Linked DNA regions of Mytilus edulis. The protein of the gene in region 1 interacts with the protein of each later gene in a biochemical or structural test. Links are inferred from orthologs where the notes say so. Each region holds a gene or a part of one and is shown on either strand. Other genes may lie near its edges.

The links.
Region 2: the proteins of heat shock factor protein-like (region 1) and co-chaperone protein daf-41-like form a complex in vitro, tested with the Homo sapiens proteins (2 studies listed by BioGRID). The link is inferred for Mytilus edulis from reciprocal best matches to the Homo sapiens genes HSF1 and PTGES3.

What each region holds. Positions count from the first base shown.
Region 1 is NC_092348.1:32,809,580-32,820,312, forward strand, and holds the start of heat shock factor protein-like, read left to right. Parts: upstream 1-5,602; 5' UTR 5,603-5,642; coding exon 5,643-5,768; intron 5,769-8,541; coding exon 8,542-8,650; intron 8,651-9,183; coding exon 9,184-9,314; intron 9,315-10,644; coding exon 10,645-10,733. UniProt on the Homo sapiens protein: Functions as a stress-inducible and DNA-binding transcription factor that plays a central role in the transcriptional activation of the heat shock response (HSR), leading to the expression of a large class of molecular chaperones, heat shock proteins (HSPs), that protect cells from cellular insult damage.
Region 2 is NC_092345.1:91,427,033-91,437,765, reverse strand, and holds the start of co-chaperone protein daf-41-like, read left to right. Parts: upstream 1-5,856; 5' UTR 5,857-5,962; coding exon 5,963-5,988; intron 5,989-7,878; coding exon 7,879-7,998; intron 7,999-9,354; coding exon 9,355-9,424; intron 9,425-10,113; coding exon 10,114-10,218; intron 10,219-10,733. Other genes in the region: nostrin-like, read right to left, coding at 5,564-5,590. UniProt on the Homo sapiens protein: Cytosolic prostaglandin synthase that catalyzes the oxidoreduction of prostaglandin endoperoxide H2 (PGH2) to prostaglandin E2 (PGE2).

The DNA of each region.
Region 1 (10,733 bases):
AACCGAGGGGGGGGGGGGCGGGGGGTCAGGTGCCACGGAAGGGTTAGCTGATCCTGCTCCACATGTGGCAACCGTCGTGTTGCTTACGTTAGTAAAACAACCCGATAATGATCGATAAAAGGTGTAATTCGGTAAGTCACATTTGGGAAAAAGGGACGGGATTGTGGCTTCGACATTAGGAACATATCCGCGATCACCTGTGAAACCGATATTCCTTAACTGTCAACCAACTCGTGATGGCGTCTGAAAAAATCACAAAAAAAAAATGATTTCCACTTCAGCATTTGAAACTCTTCGTTTAATAGTTTCCTCTTGTGCTAACATTCCATACGTTATTTGGTTTCTGGTTGATGTTATTTTCTTATTTTTATATCTAATCTATATTGTAATACATGTACCTCAGTTTTACCATTAATAAAACCTTATACTGTTTGAAGAGATAATTGATGTGTTATTGCATATTCTTTTATGTACCTCACGAGTCGTTTAGTACACTTATAGAACCCAAGAGGGGCTGGGTTGATAATACACCAAGCACCTGTCCCAAGTCAAGACAAGCGCGGATCCAGCCATTTTAAAAAAAGGGGGTTCCCAACCCAGAGTAAAGGGGGGGTTCCAACTATATGCTCCCATTCAAATGCATTGATCGGCCAAAAAAAAGGGGGGTTCCAACCCTCGGACCCCCCCCTCTGGATCCGCCACTGCAAGAGCTTTGTCAGTGGAAGAGTCAGTTTTGTTTATTTCCTTTATCTAATTTGGTATTGATGAAATAATTTTAGTACAAGTAGTTACTATTTTTTTTAGACTCGGTGCTATTTCGACATATTATAAAGCCGTATATTGTTTTCTTCGTCTTTTGATTTTGTGCTCAATGGTTGCTGTCTCATCCAAGTGACACATACGCAAAACTTCATTTTTACCGTGGGGCTATTCATAATTATGCTTTGTTAGATTTGTTTTTCTTAGTGACTCATGACAAATTATGTTGCTTATAGACACACTTCAGAAGTAAAAATATATTTGTATTATACAAAATGAAATCAATGCTAAATTCAGACTCCACTACCATAAAACTCAACGGAGAAATTTTTAAGTTTTAAAAGTTTAAAGTGACACTATTTTCAGCTAATTAAGTTGGGGACTAAACACGATAAAATTATTATAAAAACTTAAATCATAAAAGAATGAAGATTTCTTATCAGAAAATGGGTTGATAAGTTAGTTCAAGGAGGTTATATGACCTAGCTCCTTGGTTAGTTTTAAAAAGAAAACTATAAAGTAACTCGAATTGTACATCTCCAGTTTACTATATTGCTGTATTTATGTAGTTATAATACAAAAAGAATTAAAAAGAGTGTATATATCTGTATATATTCACACTACATCACCTAAAAACATTGTACACAGTCATAATTTACAGTTTCATGGCGATATTTAACCAGATAAAGATGGACGTCTTGAGGGCACACTCGTGTCTCTTTCATCACCTTAATAGCATGTCATACACATGACTGATATCCAAGGCCGTATATTTTGCCGTTTTATTTTTATTTTTACTTATTATATTAACGTGCTTTAGTGTTTTTTCTGTAGACTTACATGATTTACCAATTAGCAAATACAGTCTTTTAAGCTACAAAGAAAATCATTGAAAACCATAGTGTTGCATTAGCGGAACCCCTACTTGGAAATCGCTTTTTTTTCTTTTTTTTTATAAAGAAAATTCTGCAACTGCTGAGACGCCTGCTGAATCTAAGGATATTCCAACTTTATTTCCACATCTGTATCTAGTGCTTAAATAAAAACCGAAACCCACCTAGTTCTTTTCCTTTTACGAAAACAAGAAATCTACGGGTTGAAAAGATGTTTCAAATATGCGTGGCTGCACTATTTCCAATGGATTGTCCCTTCAACTACGCAGGACGGAGTTTGCTGCAAATTTTGCAATTTGTTCGCTACTGACCACAACCTCGTACAGTTTGTTAAGAAACCAGTTCAGAACTGGATAAAAGCAAATGATGAATGAAAATCTCAGCACAATTAGACTTTACTCACACACATGAAAAGCCAGCTATAGTGGAATAGACGCAAGGGCTGATACAGCTGAGCAATTGCAAAAATGGGCGGATAAGATCTGTGATTAAATAACAAAAGTAATTTTTAAATAGCCATAGAAGATGCGGTATGAGTGCCAATGAGACAACTCTCCATCCAAGTCACAATTCTGGGACTTATCATTTTTTACCTGGGAAAGGGAGGGGGGCTGGTCAAAATACAGGGGGTCAAGTTTTTTTCTGTATGTGGAAAAGTGGGGTTCAAATTTTGTTTATAAATTCAAAGTGGAGGATCAATATTTTATGCATATGGAAATGAGAGTTTACATACTTAAAGTTAAAGAGACAAAATGTCAAGAAGAACAATCAAATGGAAAAATAGTTTTACCACCATTCATGTACTGTAACAATTAAGTAAAACAACACATGACTTTGGTGATGTAGGAATCTGCAATTTTGTGTCATTTTGTTCCATATAAAATGCATTGGCGCTTCATAACACGAATAATCATGTCGTTATATTCAGCCACTCACGTCAATCACTACATTAACAAGCATTACTTCATAGTTTTGTTATAATCACCTGGACAGTTTGAGAGAAGTGAAGTGTAAATCTTAAGGAAATCTAACAGCGATTTGTGCAAAGTTGTGTCAAACAATTCAAATCACGCCGCATCATGTATAATATAGTGTAGAGTAATAAATTCTCCAATAAATGATCAAATATTCATCTAATCTGCATAAAAACTGTTAAATGTTGACACAAAGATGATTCTGAGACGATGAACATCACTTATATACCTTTATGTTTTCATTATAAGATCCTTTTGGGTCCATTTTTATACCTCTCATTCCCTCAAAATTTGTACATTTTAGGCTAATAATATTTTTTTTGGAGTTACATTCACACATTTATGAATGAAATGTGACAATTATGAGTATTTGATTGTTCAAGCTGAAAGCATAAACTATCCACTCAAGGGATCGAGATTTCAATAACGTAAAACTTAAGTTTACGCAGCGTTCTTGCGAGAGCCAGAGTTACTTAGGAACAAGCTTTCTTTAATAGCCCAATATAGGAGATAAGGAGGAAAAGGTCAGAAAAAGCTTCCAAAAGCACTGGCTTGCTCTACCTAATGATATTCATGGAAGAGTCCTAGGCTATTTCATGGCAATGTTCCTTCAAATATGTTTTTGGACTCAATCCACTAAGAATATTTCATGTTTGCAATATTTCCGTAAAATAATATGATAAGTGTTTTGCATGTTTTAAAACATTTGGGTATGTTTAATAGTGGGGATCAGATTCTTTTAAATATTTGTATGAGGGGATCAAATAAAAATCTCTCCCCCCCCCCCGCTTTAAGCCCTGGATACGCGTCTGTTTTGTTAGTGTATTTTAAGGTAGATTTATCCTTTTTCCTGGGGGGGGGGAATAAATGTCAAAAGATAGAATGTTTTAGTGATTTGCAAAAATGTAGTGTGTATCTTGCTGTTTCAAAATAAAATATAATAAAAAAAGTATGGGTCACGCATAAGGGGGGTTAGCTGTTAAATTCATGTTCATTGATTTGATTTAAATTATCTTATTTTTTTAAATTTACATACTAAAACGTTTTTTCCAAATTATACTGAAAAGTCTAAACAATTTAAGGTGCATGTACCTGATAGTCCTGATACTTTATTCATTAATTATAACCGCATTCAGTCGAGTGTATTTTATTCTATTTATTGACGTCATCTAATTAACCATCTTGGTGACCTCCGAACACTGTCCGACAGTCATATTACACGATATCAACAGTTGATGGTAAATATAAATACTAGATATCAAACACTAGCAAATTGAACTCGTAACTTATGGCCCTTAATTCACGGTAAGATTATGTAAAGATTGTACATACACTTTTGTGGGAACAGAAAGACAATTACGTTAAGAAGCAACATATAAATGCAACATGAACAAAAAAAAGATAGCACCAGAAAATACAAAGAAAAATGATGGAAACGGTGGAAGACTTCCATTTCTTATTATAGATTAAAAATCTGAGACATCAATCGCGATAAATAATATAGAATCACATATTATGTTAAACATTTCTTCTGTGTACATCATCATAGTACTTTTACAATTTCATATTAGATATCAAGTCGACGACATGGGTATCTTTCAAGTTGGATGTAGAAAATGCATAACCTCCGATTTTATTATTTTTTTTACCACGGACGGAAAACATATCAATCTATTAGTTCACTAATTTTCGTGTCTACCCTTCCATTATGTGACTCAAGAAAAAATTCCAAAAAAAGGGTAACAATTGTATCGAAAAGAGAAAATCGAGTGCACCTTTTTATGTTAGGGCGTGTTTGAGTTGAACATTTTGTCTCGATATCGTACAAAGCAAGAATATTTCATACATCGTCTCGCTTCAGTTTCTATCATTTTTACATATCAAAGCTACAGGTTGACTTTATAACATAAGAAAATCACAGTGCTAAAAAATGAAATATATGGGTCAAGTGAAATACCTCTCTAATGAATCACAAAAACAGATTCGAATAGCTATTTTTTTTACTAAAAGTACTTGACGACAGTCTTTCAAGTTGGATGATGAAAATGCATATCTTCGAAAAAAAATTATATTTTTTTTGTGTGTGATAACTAGGGTTTATAGTCTTGACTTCAACCACTAAAAAAATCTAGTCTGCCCTTCCACGAAATATTTAATTAATTTTTTTTTAAATGTTTATGAATTTTCGAAAATTCCACCTGACAACCGATCAGACAATAGTTTTAAGTTGAATCAATGCAGACAAGATCATTAACTGATGCCCATTTTCTAGTTGATACATTTGTCTTTTAAAATACAACTGGCATATCAGGATCGTAATGGTGCAACCGATGTGGATAAATTTATCGGTTTCCAAGAGCAAAATTGGCAGAGACGGTCATCCCTACAATGAGGGGGGATAGGAGGGGTCCTGATCCCGAAATCCCGGACTTAAAAAAACGAAATCCCGAGGTCCCGAATTTAAATAAAGTAAATCCCGACGTCCCGAAATCCGAAAAAAAGGATTCCCGGATCCCGAGAGGGTCAATCCCGAAATCCCGAGCTTAAAAACACCCGATCCCGGAGTCCCGATAAAGGTCCTATCCCCCCTCTACAATGGCTTCCATTTCTACGATTGTGAAAATGAACTGGCGTAATGGGGAGATAATTTTGACGAAGTTGAATCCTGACTGTATTAGAAACTGTTTGTTTGACGATCAGATTATAATATTTTTAATCAAGGCCGACCGGCCGACAATCGGTGAAATGCAGACTTCGGTAAAGTTCGGACAGTTGACAAGATCACATTAAATGAACCCTTTAATCTAAATTAAAACATTGCACCATGTAAATTCTGGATCATATAATAACAGCTCATCTTAGCAAAAATCAATTATTTTTGTTTTTGTTTTATATGAATATCTAGAAATTATGTTATAGAACTTTTTGAAAGAAAAAGTGCCGAAATATATTCCATCTTCGTATAGTGTTGATTCGATCGGCACATGCGCTAACAGAAAAAATAACTGAATTCGTGATGTCGGATATGTACATTGTGAATAACACTTCTCAAAACATGCCTAGCACTGTTCCAGCCTTTCTAACAAAGCTATGGACACTTGTAGAAAACCCTATGGTCGATGATTTGATTTGTTGGGGCGAGGTAAACTACAACAACATGACATAATCAATAAATACATAAAAAAGGGGGAGGGTACTATTAGGATCAAATTCAGTCTACTTAGTTTACCTGTTGATTTAAAAAGTTGTTGTCCGTCAACGTAATAACGAAAAAAAAACCCACTGAAATTGAGACATGTGTGATATAATGATCTTTATTTGATATATGATTAATTTTCCAACAAAACTGAAAAAGTTATATCCTACCGTAGTCTAAAATCGGTCATCTTGTCAGTTTGTTAGGTATTTGTGTTTGAACTTAACACACGGGGAAACTACACATTGACGTCACTACGCTACTTCCTGAATAGAAAAACACTGCAGAATACGTTTTTTCTGCTCTTTTGAATAAAAAAACATTTCTAAAGGTAAGTTTTCATTGTTGTTCTCAATTATGGCTAAAAAATGCCAATTTTCTATAGTCGCCGTCATGTAAAATTGGCACCATGTTTTTGTCAAAATTTTCTTAAATATCGACCGCGTTTATTAAAGATCATGTTTTTGAATTAGCGTAATCAAATATCATTCCAAAAATCAACTACTGTCCTACCTTTTATTGTGTTTGCACTGTATAATCCTGACCTTCACATAATCCAAGATTAATTTGTATGGTGGAATCCGACATAGTTATTACCGGAAGTATTCCACGTGCTCTCCATTTTCTTGTGTCTCTCGGAGCTTTTCGTCATCTTTACGTAAAAAGCGCGGGAAATTGTATCATCAATGACAATGATATTACCGGAGAGTAACGAATGTTATGGAATAAGGGACCCTCATAGAAACCAAGATGGCGGTTATACAATGTAAATAATCTTGAAAAATGTGAAGGTCAGGATTATACAGTGCAAACACAATAAAAGGTAGGACAGTAGTGGATATTTGGACAGGATTTTACTTCAGCTAAAAGAAAAACACCATCTTGAGTAAACGCGGCTGATATTTAAAAAAATTTTAACAAAAAACAGGGTGCCAATTTTACGTGACGTGGACTATAATGCCCGTTTCAATCCTGACTTTCGAATTCTAAAAACATTCTAGAACTTCACAAAATCCCACTTCCGGCCTCAATTGCTTTGTGTGTCATTCCATTCAGCGTCATCAATCTTGTGGCAGGCAATATAAGTCAAGCAAATTGTATTTTTAAGAATTTCAAAATGACATGCTCCCTACGTCTTTCGCAATTTTCCCGCGAAAAAAGCCCAACCAAAATGAAAGGAAAACTATATGAAAAAACGATGTCCATGCCATAATTTTGGTCAGGAATATAAAGTAGGTTAATAAAAAACAATTTACATTTATTTTTCATAGAATTTTTTTTTTATTCATTATAAAAGATCGATATTCTGACCATCATGACTGTAAATGGTAAATATTCATACAAAATTCCATTGATGAGGATGGCAAAAAATGAGGTTTCCTGTTGAATAAAACCCCAAATTATTGCAAACTACATGTATTTTAAAGCAATATCCCACAAACAAATAACGTAATTGCGGTAGACTGAAAAATCACCTACATTTGTAATTGACAGTAGAGCAATTTGATTGGGTAGAACGATTTTACATCACGTGATTTTGACGCCATTGGAATTTGAATGTAAACAAAGCAAGGTCAGTAGGTTCAGTATGGGGCAGCATCGTACATTGAGTTACTGAGAAACAATTATGAGTTACCAAGCTTGACAATGCATGGTAATAAAAAATCAAAGCTAAGTCTACAGAAAAAAATATAAAAAAATGTCCTTAGGATAACGACTTACCAACATTCCAGGATAAGTTATATATATCCTTATAAATTATTCTTGACATGTAGTGCATGGGTCACCACACCAGTGTAAAAAGACGATATTATAGTCCTAAGATTCCTTACTGCTCTTAAGAAGCATGAGGGAGAAGTTTGTGTCACCCTTGATTTTCAATAAAATTATAACACAGACTGACAGAGGTCCCGATTTCATGTCCCGGTGGAGACCTGCGATTTTGCAAGAAGAATCATGCTCTCTGGTTACATTGGCGACCATTGAGCTTGATTCTAATATCCACTTGTCATTAATTAATTATTACCTGTTAAACCAGGTGAATTTCAAGGAACTGCAACAAAGACACATGACCCAATTTATCCAACTCCAAGTTCAAAATTCAGGTTTATTTGATTGCTATCTTCTCTTTTAAATGAAAAGACAGGATTGTTTGCTCAACTTGTTCAAACAGAGAACCTATTTTCAATTTAATTTTATTAAAAGAAGGGATCTTGCGATTCGAAGGCATATAGCTCCTGTTTATGTGCAGCAAGATTTGCTTACTCTTCAGTTACAACTTAGGTTACTCGCTGCATTTGGTGGGGTGAGGGTTGCTCAGTCTTTGGTTTTCTATGTTTGTGTTTTTTTTATGTACAATGATGCAATCGACATCTCAATCCCTTTTGAATTTAGATTCTGAAGTAAAATGCTAGTTTGCTGTCCTGAGAATCACTTAATTAATCCCAATTAAATCTATTTAGGAAAATCTTTGCCACCTATAAAATGTACCTGGTCTCAAATCTGTGCCTTTTACATCTACAGCACCACACCGTACACCTGACACTAGCATTTGTTTTACTCTTGTGCTAAGGAGGAAAAAACACTTCCCTGGACCCTGGAATCAAATGACTTGGAATGCTGGTAATGTGTTGATGTTTTCTGTTTAATTGATTATATAATCTTGTTAGTTTTACTGTGTTTTTTTCTGTGATGCTAACATGTTGTATTTTTATTTCAGAATGGAACCAGTTTCCATGTTTATGATCAAGGCAGATTTGCAAAAGACATTCTACCACATTACTTCAAACACAGTAATATTGCCAGCTTTATAAGGCAACTAAATATGTGTAAGTAGTTAATGGCAATATTGATGTCCACATACACAAACATTGGTATTTTTAAAGATGCAAGTTCATTTGCCGGTTTAAGGGTTTCTTTCCCCTGTATCAATTTTCTTTTTCACCTATTTCGCCTAAAGCAATATTTTTTTGCCACTTCAAGCCGTCAATTCCATATTTGGTTGGTCAGACTTCCAAGCTCCTCGCGTCAATCATTTTGTGTTTTATAGTTTGGGAAATGATTAGAAGGAGATCAATATATAAACACATGAACAGATCGACTTAAACACTAATTTTTTTTGACACTTTTCCCTTCTGTTTCTCATGAAATTACTGGATCTTGAACCCTCCCTCACACTATTTATGTTTCTATTACAATGTGGAAAAATCAGTGTTATGAAAAATTCTAAATATATCCAACCTAAAGAGCAAACCCTCGATTCATTTGTTTGCCTCCTATTGCTCCCTCCACAATCAATTTAAAAACATCCCTTAGTTATATCTCATAGGATTAAGAATTAAACAATTATATTTAATTTCAGATGGTTTTAGAAAAGTTTCTCACATAGAACATGGAATCAAAGATGAAACAGATGACCTCGAGTTCCAACACATGTACTTTATTAGAGGCCAGCAACATTTGTTAGATAAGATCAAAAGAAAAATAGCAGGGGTAATATATTCAAATACATAATATATATGTAAATATCTGTACTTTCATGAAAAGGTTATTTAAAATTTGGTATATTCATGATATTTACTTGTGTATATTTACTTTTGATTAAAAATACTTAAACTATGGGTCATTCAACCATTGGTTGATACATAAAAACAGGGTCATATACATGTAGGAATAAAAAAATATCAAAAGAAAGATGTTTAGATTAAAGTCATATGAAACCTCAAATAAAAAAAAATGATGCATATGTTTTTTTTTATAACAAAATGGATAATTGTCATTATTAAAATTATGTACATATGCTTTTTTTTCTGAAGAAAATTCTTTAATTTGTCCACATTTAGAAGAAGTTTACTTTTTTTTTAAAATGCTTGCTTCCATTAAGCAATGTGCCGACATATTTTCCATATTTAAAGTGAGCCTAGCGTGACCCTTCTCGTAAAAATCCGGTGATCGCAATTCACATGGATCTGTCACTGAAATAAACTATTATCTGATTGTACATGTTATACACGTGCTCAATATCCATACTTCTTTGTTGATTGTTTACTATAAGGTGACACAATTGGTAAACTATGGCTTCAAAACACGACAATTTATGAGCTGCCATATTTTCACTTCTTAACAGATAAAGCGAAAAAAAAATGACGATTTTACGATATTTTTGCGTAAAAAGACTTAGTTTATGATATAAACATGCATTGGTTCAAGAATTGGATAAACATTATTTTTCACCAGTCACTCATTTCATATGACTTTAAAGGTCTTCAGTGATTTATTTTTTATGCCCCACCTACGATAGTAGAGGGGCCTTATGATTTCTGGTCTGTGCGTCCGTTCGTCCGTCGTACTGTCCGTCCGTTCGTCTGTTCGTTCGTCCATCTGTCCCGCTTCAGGTTAAAGTTTTTGGTCAAGGTAGTTTTTGATGAAGTTGAAGTCCAATCAACTTGAAACTTAGTACACATGTTCCTTATGATATGATCTTTCTAATTTTACAGCCAAATTAAACTTTTGACCCCAATTTCACGGTTCACTGAACATAGAAAATGAAAGTGCATGTTTCAGGTTAAAGTTTTTGGTCAAGGTAGCTTTTGATGAAGTTGAAGTCCAATCAACTTGAAACTTAGTACACATGTTCCCTATGATATTATCTTTCTAATTTTAATGCCTTATTATATTTATTATCCAATTTCACGGTCCATTGAACATGGAAAATGATAGTGCGAGTGGGGCATCCGTGTACTTTGGACACATTCTTGTTTATTTTGTGTTTTGTATAGACATTTTTTAATTTAAAATATTCGAAACTATATTTACTTTTCAGACAACTGCACAAGTGAAAACTGAGCCAATGCAGGAAGTTCCACAACAAGATCTGACCAATGTAATTACAGAAGTCCAAGTCATGAGAGA
Region 2 (10,733 bases), on another chromosome or scaffold:
CTCAAAGTCCGATATTTGTTTCCTTTCTGTTAAATTCAATTATTTTCGTGTGTCTGGCTTCAGACCACAATTATTCTTCTCCTTTGCTACAATGCTTCTTTTTGGTAAAAGTCAAATCAAATTAAAAATTTGCACTGTTTCAAACATGAAATAAATGTAACTGCTTTTATATAGATCATTATTAGTCTAAATAAAATATGCTTCTATAGGTCAATCCATCTGTGCTTTTTTTCTTCTTTTTAGAGCCTTATTAACATGCCAATGGTAGGATATGAATCATGTATAAATGAATAAGACCGACTAAGGTTAATTTGAGAGGTGGTCGGAGGGGTCCTGATCCCGAAATCCCAGGCTTATAACCATGAAATCCCGAGATGCAGAATTTAAAGAAATTCATATCCCGAAATCGAAAAATATATTCCCGGATCACGTAAGGATCAATCCCCAAATCCCGAGCTTAGAAACACCCGAACCCGACGCCCCGAAAAAGGTTATGCCTCCCTCTCATCTCTACCTTACTTTCGTTTTTGCCAAATCACTATTTTCCCTTTCAACAATAAATGTTTATGCCCCATTTATGGGCATTATATTTTCTAGTCTGTCCCGCTTCAGGTTAAAGTTTTTGGTCGGGATACAAATGTAGTTTTAGATGAAGTTGAGCATGTTTTACCGTTATTTTAATATGTATGCAAGGAGTATGACCCCTTAAATAGTAAACATTTCAAAGAAAACAGTAGACAGAATTAGGGACTTTCTATACTAACATAGAAAGTCCCTGACAGAATACAGAGAGTCTATATATTAAAGTTGTATAATCGTAGTTTACATGTAGATAAATGCGAGAAATAGTTGTCCTCTATATTAAGGAGCTATAATAGTTGTGGTTCCTGCGATATAAACACCATGATATGGAGAACGCTCTGATTGGCTTATTTATTTTTCATTTTTGTTATCTATCATACGATTGGTTGTATTTGTGCTGTTTCAAACCGGAAGTCTTATATATAACTAAAAGTCAGTCCGATGACGGAATCATATTCGGACTCCTTTTTAGTCGTTTTTCTCCCAAACTAACATAATCTGAATAATCATAAGAATGGATGACAAATGCGACTATGCATGTTACCTATAGGACACAGAGGCATGATGATTGATTTATTGTGGAAGGAAGTGAAACGACACACAAAACTAGGTCTTCTCGTTTAATAGTATAGATTCAATATTAGGACAATATCAACCAAGTATATTTTAGATACTTAATCTAAAACTGTGAAAAATTAAAAATATTAAATATAACTCCAATAGACGTAATAATTAAGGGAGATAATTCCAATTCATGTAATAAAAAATTGTACTGAAATTTATTAGGACAATATCAGCCAATCAAATTGCGAGAAACTACTCTAAATCAGGATAATGTCTTTTAGGCCACACCAATTTAATTTCTTGTTCTACGGATTATTGGACTCCAAAATTTGGGGCGAGCGAGCGATTTGAAAAATTTTAATAAAAAATATTTAATTTGCAAATTTTTGAGGCGAAGCTTGAAAAGTAAAGGCGAGCGATTAATTTTTTTTTTGTAAACATAAAATAGTAGGTTTTGACAATAATAAAACTTGATTTATAACTTGTACTTTGACATTTCTTTAATTTCTGAAGTATTTTTTCCCTGTTCAGCAAGAAATAATTAAATCTGGACTATGTATGTGTGACTGACAATGAGACAATTCTCCATCCAAGTCATAATCAGTTTGGGGGCAACCCCTTAATGTTATAAATATCCCTTTTACATGTTTTATGTGGGGTCAATATAAGTTATTATATATTTGTTTGTACAGAAGGGCTTATATTTTCTCAAAGAACTATATATCTATCTAGTATTAAATGGTCAAAACATGTCCAAGAATTTTGTAATATTCCTGGACTTTAACCATGTTAAGTTAACACATTTACTTTAACAGTTTAATATTATTCAAAATAAGTGGACCCCTCTTTTAGAAAAAGTTATTTAAAATATGATGTAACTCTCCTCTCTTTGAGTACAAAATTCTAAGTTTTTAAAGGTTTTGTATAGAAGAACTACACAAATCCTTGGTATTTCTATTTTCTTTTCTACATCAGTAAAATGACCCCTTGTCTGAGGGAGGGTTGTTCTCAACCTGACAATAACAAACACAGGTCAAAGTACGGCCTTTTACACAGGGCTTTGATACAGACCAAACAGCAAGCTATAAAGGATCCCAAAATTATTAGCGTACACAATTCGAACAGGAAAATTTATATATCCAAACGGGAAAATACCAATGAACAACATCAACAAACGATAACTGCTGCACGACAGGCCCCTGAATCAATCAGGACAGGTGCATAAACATGCAGCGGCTATAGATAGTTTTGTTTGCCAGCATAAAATATAATTGCAGTTGAAGGCAAATCCTTCAGAAGTTCTTTGTACTTTATTCTAACAACGAACATTTTTTGATAGGGAATATAAGTAAGGGGGAAAGAAACAAATGTTGATATCTTTTTATAATATCTACAAAAAAAAACGGTGCGGGAAATAGACATGATTACATTTCCGGATGCAGAAAGCGGGAATATAAAAAAATTAAAAAAATTCTGTTTTGAAAAAGGTGCGGACGGGTCCGTCGAACAAGGAATCAAATTGGTGTGGCCTTACAGTTGAATTGTACATTTTAATTACATTGAGCAATCACAAAAATAATACCATGATCATTCACTACATAGACTAATGCAGTAAAATCAGAGTAAGGTGCCTCCTACATTTGTGAAAGAAAGTAAATATAGCTACATGTACATTGTATATAAACTGCAGTTAATCAGTATTAGATTGACACTGACATTTAGTTCAGGATCACTTGGGTTAGTGTGCATCTTCAAGAATGGCAACTCTCCAACATGGCAACATTGTAGAATTTATATATAATCATGATAATTCATAACTTTAATCTCTACTCTGTTTACTTTTCCTCTCTATCTATTAAGCTACCAGTTTTAGCCCAAAACATTTCAAAATGGGAATATTAAAAAGAAAAGATGATAATTTTATCTCTTACAGTTCCTATCTACTGTATTTTTTTCTTCAAAATTCAAACATTTGTAAAAAATTTATTTTTCAAAGGAAATTTCCAGGCCAAAATTTTAAATATAAAATAACACCTCATATTTTTGATCATTGAAATCTCAGTACCCATAGCCATTGCTTGGCCAAATTTTCATCAAATGTAGAAAATAATTCAAGTTTGGTGTTGGTCAACATTTCCCATAGTAAATAAACATGTGTTACTACGAGTTTATACTGGCAATTTAAACTGTTTAACTTTATTTGGGTCAATATCCCTAATGCACCTCAAAATGAGGAACACAATAATATCATGAATATCTAAGAAATTTAAAAAGTTCATGTGCAATGATACTAAACATGGTGCTATAAATTTAACAATTGAAAGAGTTTAACAGCTGCTAACCATTTTGAAAGCAGGAGAAAATAAAGATGTCAAAACTTTGCAGTTGTTTAATGCTTTTATATAGAACTGTTTCCCTGAGATTATCTAACTGTGTGAAAATACAAAATAAGCATGTTACTTGCTGTAGCCACATCACACAGGGCCTTTCTGATTATCTAAATTTGTGAATCTAAATTAAATTTCATACCAAAAAAAATGACATATATATAATGTATATATATATATGTGTCACAGTGATATATGTATAATTCAAAACAAGCAAACCCAGCCACTTCCACTCTGTTTTTGTTATACATGTATGTAATTCTATTTTTTTCCATCTGATGAGTTGAGCCTTTCTCAGCTGATTTTTATAGTTTGTCTTGTGTTGTACTGTTACACTACTGTCTGAGATTAGGGGATGGTTGGATTTCGCTTTCATGTTTACCCTGCCACATTCTGTAGGTATGTGCTTGGTCATGCTGTCCCAAGTCAGGAGTCTGTAATTTAGTGGTTGCTGTTTTTTTCTTGTTTCTAATTTTTTGTACATTAATTAGTCCGTTAGTTTTCTCCTTTGATTTGTTTCATATTTGTAATTTCTGGAATTTTATAGCTGACGATGTGGTATAGGCTTTGCTCATTGTTGAAGGTAGTACTATGACCTAAAGCTGTAAAATTTCTTTGCAGAGTTGTCTCATATTCATAAAAGTCATACCACACCTTCTTTTCTATATACCTATCAGTATCTAATTGTAACCCATATCAACACAAGAACTGTAATATGAGTGTTCTACCATTACATGCATTATAAGTATAACTTTTCTGACATACAATTGGATATACATGTATATATGGACGAAATTGTAGATTTTTATACCTTAATAGTTTTTGTTCATGTGGTTGTTTACAGTTTATCTTCATTTTTTATGTTTTGCAAAGCTAATAAATTAGCAAAATCATGGCTAAAGGACAAAGGGCAATAACTCTATACAATTAATAAAATTGTCATTAAAAAGACTTGAAAGGCAATTGCTGTTACAAATTTTGAATCTTTACCATGATCTAAATTTGCTTACATCTGCCTCCTTAAGTCATAGATCGGGAAACTTCAAAACTTAATTGATAGGGGTGCTGCTGCGTTTCTGTAAATAACCCACCCTTTTCATATAATTTAAATTTCAAAAATGTATACTTTTTCATATACATATATATAGGAAGTGGACCCCCCGAGAGTCATAGAAAGGCAGATGTACATGAAAGCAACTTTACATCATTGGTGAAATGAATGTTTAGTACCTTTTTCACCAATAACAACATTTTGATGTACACTTTTAAAAGTATTTCTCAGAATACACAAGAAGCCAACAGCTTGCTAGTCCAAATAATTATGACGTCTTGGAAGGATATTTTAAATTTTTGCTTTGACGCCTTCCTGCAACAATGTAAGGCGTCAAAGAAAAAAAAAATAATAGCCTTTTAAGACGTTAAATTTATTTGGACTAACAAACACTTGGATGGTACAAAAAAAAATGTATAAAATCAAAAATTTTAGAAAAACAAACAATATGAACAATAAAGGCAACAGTAGTATACAACTGTTGAAAATTCATAAACAAGGCAAACAGCAACAAATGACTACCACTTTCTTACAGTCTACTGTCTTAGGTCAGGCGCCACAAGAATTTGGTTGGTTAACATGTGTATGAGCTTTTAACTATCCCCTTTAAAAAGGACAGAGGTTGTACAGAAACTCTAAAAGTAGTTACAATAAAAGTTAGAGTATAGGTATTTTCTAAACAGATCACCATGAAGCTTGAAAACAGCTGAAGTCAGTGAAAAATAGACGAATGACACATACTAGTATTCTCCCAAACCTCCTTCTGTGTACAAATAGGGTTGTCGTTTATAATAATCATTATCATAATCAATAATTTATGTAGACTGCAGATTTCTTTTTAACTTTTTTAATTATATATAAATTCAGTTGATGAGTTGTGCATGATCATGATGATACTTGATATATTTAAGACTATATCCTTAATCATTAAGTTTGATGTTTACCCTTCACGTATACTGTCTTTAAAGATGTCACTTACTCTAAAATTTTCCGTAAAAAGAGCCATGTCACTTTCATTCCATTTTATGATTTTTTTTAACGTGAAATACCTATCCAGTTATTCAAAGTGTCAAGGTCAACAAATTCTGCAGTCAATATATTTTATTTAAAAAAATCCTCAAAGCAATCTCTTATATTTTCTATTTCATAAAAACTGACATATTTTTGTTGTTGTCATCGAGCTTTTGTGATACTGATAGTGTAATTTTACAATAAAACGTGGTTTCGCTTAAAAAACCAATCTGGTTCTTTTTTTTCTCCTTTACTCTTTGGTTGAGTAACCAGTCCAAGCACTTTATGACACTGGTTTTCTGTCCTGTTCTCGTTTCTATTAGTCTTCTCTTCATCTGAAATTGTTTGGAGTACCAGTCTAATTCACATGGCGTTGAAAATGGCCGATCAAGAGTAAGTTACATGTGGAAACGAAAGAAAATATTAAAACAAGAACGTTTATCAATGATAGTTTGAATGGAAGAAGTTATATCATTATATATTTACCATATATTTTTGCATAATTCATTTGAACAAGTAGTAGCGGTGTAAATCCCACGTAATTTTAAAATGCACGGGATACTGAAGACAACTTATAGAAGATTCCAGAAAGTTTGAGAAACATATATGGCCCTGCAGACATCATCATGTTCACAATAGTACTTTCAATTTAAGAATGGATTTTTATAGAATTAGTGAAAGAATTTAAAATATATACTTACTGTTACAACATATACAGTTCTCTCCTTAATCAATCACTTTTCAGTGCAGATCCAGGATTTAAAAAAAGGGGGGGACCCTGGCAAGCCAACGTTTGGAGCACAGGGGCTTGTTACAATTGCCGGGTTTACTATCCATACGAACCCCTAAAAAACACAAGGGAGGAAGCTAATTTGCGACAATGCTTCAAATTATTGTTGTAAATTTTTTCTAAGACTTTCACTTACTTTGTGACCTGAATAAATATGTTCCCACTTGAATTATCTCTCCAATGACATATATTTGTTACCTTAAATAACCTCTATAACTATTGTAATCCATAAAACAAACTCGACATTTTTGAAATAGAAAGAATCGAGGCCCTACATTTGAAAATGAAAGTGCTAAAGCGACACCTATCGGAAAATATATTTTCGGCACTATCGGGTGTTTACATAAATGTTACGCTTTTCGGAAGTCTACGGTATTTTTTATTACAATAATGTAAAAATTGGCGGGAATTATTAGGAACATACTGTCTTTCGTCCTCATATTTCGGTAAACTCCAGAGAGAGCCGAAAATAAATTTTCCGGTAGGTGTCGCTTTAGTTCTTTCATTTTCAAATGTAGGGCCTCGATTCGTTCTATTTCAAAAATGTCGAGTTTGTTTTATTGATTACAATAGTTATAGAGGTTATTTAAGTTAACAAATATATGTCATTGGAGAGATAATTCAAGTGGGAACATATTTATTCAGGTCACAAAGTAAGTGAAAGTCTTAGAAAAAATTTACAACAATAATTTGAAGCATTGTCGCAAATTAGCTTCCTCCCTTGTGTTTTTTTAGGGGTTCGTATGGATAGTAAACCCGGCAATTGTAACAAGCCCCTTTGTTTGGAGTGTAATACTTGTAAAAAGATTAGCCTATGCAGTTTGTGTATTCACAAAACTCAGTATGTGGGCCATCACCCACCTGCCTTCATCCTCCTCAGCTGTTTGAGTTTAAGAAACTAATTATTTAAGAAGCCTCAATTTTTTTTTATTATATACCTTGGAGCAGTGAAAGGTCCCTTTGAATAATTAAAGAAGCACTTGGATGTAGTTACATATTGTCAAAACACTTGATATACATACTAGAAAAATTGATTTGTGTCCTAAAATTTCTCAAAGATAGACTGTAAAATATTGATTTACAAGGGATATTTTGGCTTCTCAGCTGTTTGAGTTTAAGAAACTAATTATTTAAGAAGCCTCAATTTTTTTTTATTATATACCTTGGAGCAGTGAAAAGTCCCTTTGAATAATTAAAGAAGCACTTGAATTGGATGTAGTTACATATTGTCAAAACACTTGATATACATTAGAAAAATTGATTTGTGTCCTAAAATTTCTCAAAGATAGACTGTAAAATATTGATTAACAAGGTATATCCTTGGCTTCTAAGACTAAGGTGATGGTTGTTATATTTATATTGTTAGATAGGTCTGTTCTAATTCATGCACAAATTGATAAGGTGAAAAACTTAAATGACATGAGATCATATTAAATGACCATGTCAACCTTCATTTGTATGTACTAGTATAATTTGAATGATTTATTTTTCAGACAAGTATTGCATACACCTATGGAATGGGCCCAACGAAAAGATAGAGTGTTACTGACCATTGTATTAGAAGACTGTAAAGAACCAAACATAGAAATAACAGACACAGGTTTACACTTTAAGTAAGTATTTCCACAATATAATTACTCCTGAAATCAGTTTTTGGGAACTTACATTGTGACTTATTAAGGACCAAATAAGTCAGTTGATATGAACAAATTCCTGGTGATGGGATTTCAATATTTATATTATACCATTTGTACATGCAACACACAATTTCAGGGATGGAATATAAGTTTTTTAAGTTGTAGCCCAGTCAATGTAATTGTATTTGTTATAGGATCAAGCAACTGCAAAAGTATGGTAAACATTAGTAGGCCATAAATGGGCCACTGGAATCCTTTGAAATTTCCATCCCCAATTTTAGACTGATTCACCTTTTGGGTTGCACTGTGATTTTACATTTGTTATTTATCAGGGTTACATGTAAGCTCTTGGTTTAAGTCTGTAAATGAGAAATTGAAAACATTTTATGTGTGAAAGGATAGACTAACAAATGTACCTTGACCACTTCAATAGTCTATGAAATCAATAAAGAATAAATGTATTATAGTAAAACAATATGCAAGCCACCTTAACCTTATAATTTTTTAGCTCACCTGACCCGAAGGGTCAAGTGAGCCTTTCCCATCACTTTGCGTCCAGCGTCGTTAACTTTTACAAAAATCTTCTCCTCTGAAACTACTGGGCCAAATTTAACCAAACTTGGCCACAATCATCATTGGGGTATCTAGTTTAAAAAATGTGTCCGGTGACAAGGCCAACCAACCAAGATGGCCGCCATGGCTAAAAATAGAACATAGGGGTAAAATGCAGTTTTTGGCTTACAACTCAAAAACCAAAGCATTTAGAGCAAATCTGACATGGAGTAAAATTGTTTATCAGGTCAAGATGTATTTGCACTGAAATTTTCAGGTGAATCGGACAACCCTTTGTTGGGTTGCTTCCCCTGAATTGGTAATTTTAAGGAAATTTTGCTGTTTTTGGTTATTATCTTGAATATTATTATAGATAAAGATAAAATGTAAACAGCAATAATGTTCAGCAAAGTAAGATTTACAAATAAGTCAACTTGACTGAAATGGTCAATTGACCTCCTAAGGAGTTATTGTCCTTTGAAGTCAATTTTTAACAATTTTCTTAAAATTTGTAAATTTTTACTAACATTTTCCACTGAAACTACTAGGCTAAGTTCATTATAGATAGAGATAATTGTAAGCAGCAAGAATGTTCAGTAAAGTAAGATGTCCAAACACATCACCATCACCAAAACACAATTTTATCATCAATCCATCTGCTTCCTTTGTTTAATATTCACATAGACCAAGGTGAGTGACACAGGCTCTTTAGAGCCTCTAGTTTTGATATGTCACTACATAATACATGTCAATAAACAATAGCATATATATCTATTTCAGGGGCAAAGGAGGAACAGAAAATAAACTACATGAAGCAAAAATAGACTTTTTCAAAGAAATAGATAGCAAAGTAAGAAAATATCAGTATATAGCATCTTAAATTTAAATCTGATGTTCTAGCAAAACTAACAGGATTGACACAGGTACTCTTTAGAATTAACAAATATTTTGCTCTGTAGAAAAAAGTATGCCTATATATGTGTACATGTACATTTATACAATACATGTACCACCTTAACAGGAATTGAATTTTGAATAGGCTTTTGTTGATATCAGATCATTAATCCATGTCAGAATGATAATGAAGATTTCAAATAATTTCCATTATTTACAGCTTTTCTATAAAAGCATGCAAAACAAAATTTTGATCAACTTGCTTGCTATGTTTGCTTGGTTGTTTGCAAACAATAGGTAGGCGGAGTTTCAATATATACTGGGATTTGATTGGATATGAATTGAAGTGAATGTTTATTGCCCAATCAAATGCCAGTATATAGTAAACAAACTACCTACCTGTTGTTTACAAACATCCAAACAAACATAGCAAGCAAGTTGATCAATGGTTTTCTTTGCATGCTTCTATAAAAGAGCTGTAAACACCATGTCAAAGTAAGTCCTCTAGGTGATATTTTTTTTACATTTTTCTGAGACTAAATTTTGGTAAAGATTGTATGTAATCCCATTGGTATTTTGGAGGTAGTGTGTTAAATATATGAGGAAATTTTACATATTTCACAAATGTTTTTTTTTGTCTTGCAGGAATCAAAGTATGCAGTTTTACCTAGACATATATCATTGATTTTAAAAAAGAAAGACACCACTGAAGAACATTTTTGGCCGAGATTATTAAAAGAAAAAACTAAAGTAAGTGTTTGAATCTATGTTGTACAGATTCTGTCTGGTTAAAATTCTAATGAATGGACTTAGAATTTATTATTATTTTACAAAGGGATAGGCTTTGTCATATGACAAATGTGTTCAGTTACAAAAGGAGGTGAGATAACAATAATACCTGAAATTGTGAAATACCAATAGAAAAAAAAATAATCTTTTTTTCCAGTGTTGCATATGGTGAAACTAGAACTGCTCTACTCCATCTATCATTCTGTCCATATATCCAAAAAACATTGATTAGAAAACTTTCAAGTTTTCTTGGCCTCTTCAAAAAGAAATGATTTTATGGTTGGTCCTTAGCTTGTAATGGTGAGATGTAGTGTGTAAGCAATATTTAGATCTACCCTGTAGCTACTTCCTGTTTGCAGATACTTTTAAATTATACACTGTCTCTCAGGTCCACCCCTGGAACTGGTTTTCTTTTCATGTCCTGTCAGAAAGCTGTTGAAAAAAAATATGTAAAAAATGTTTACCTTTTTTAGATA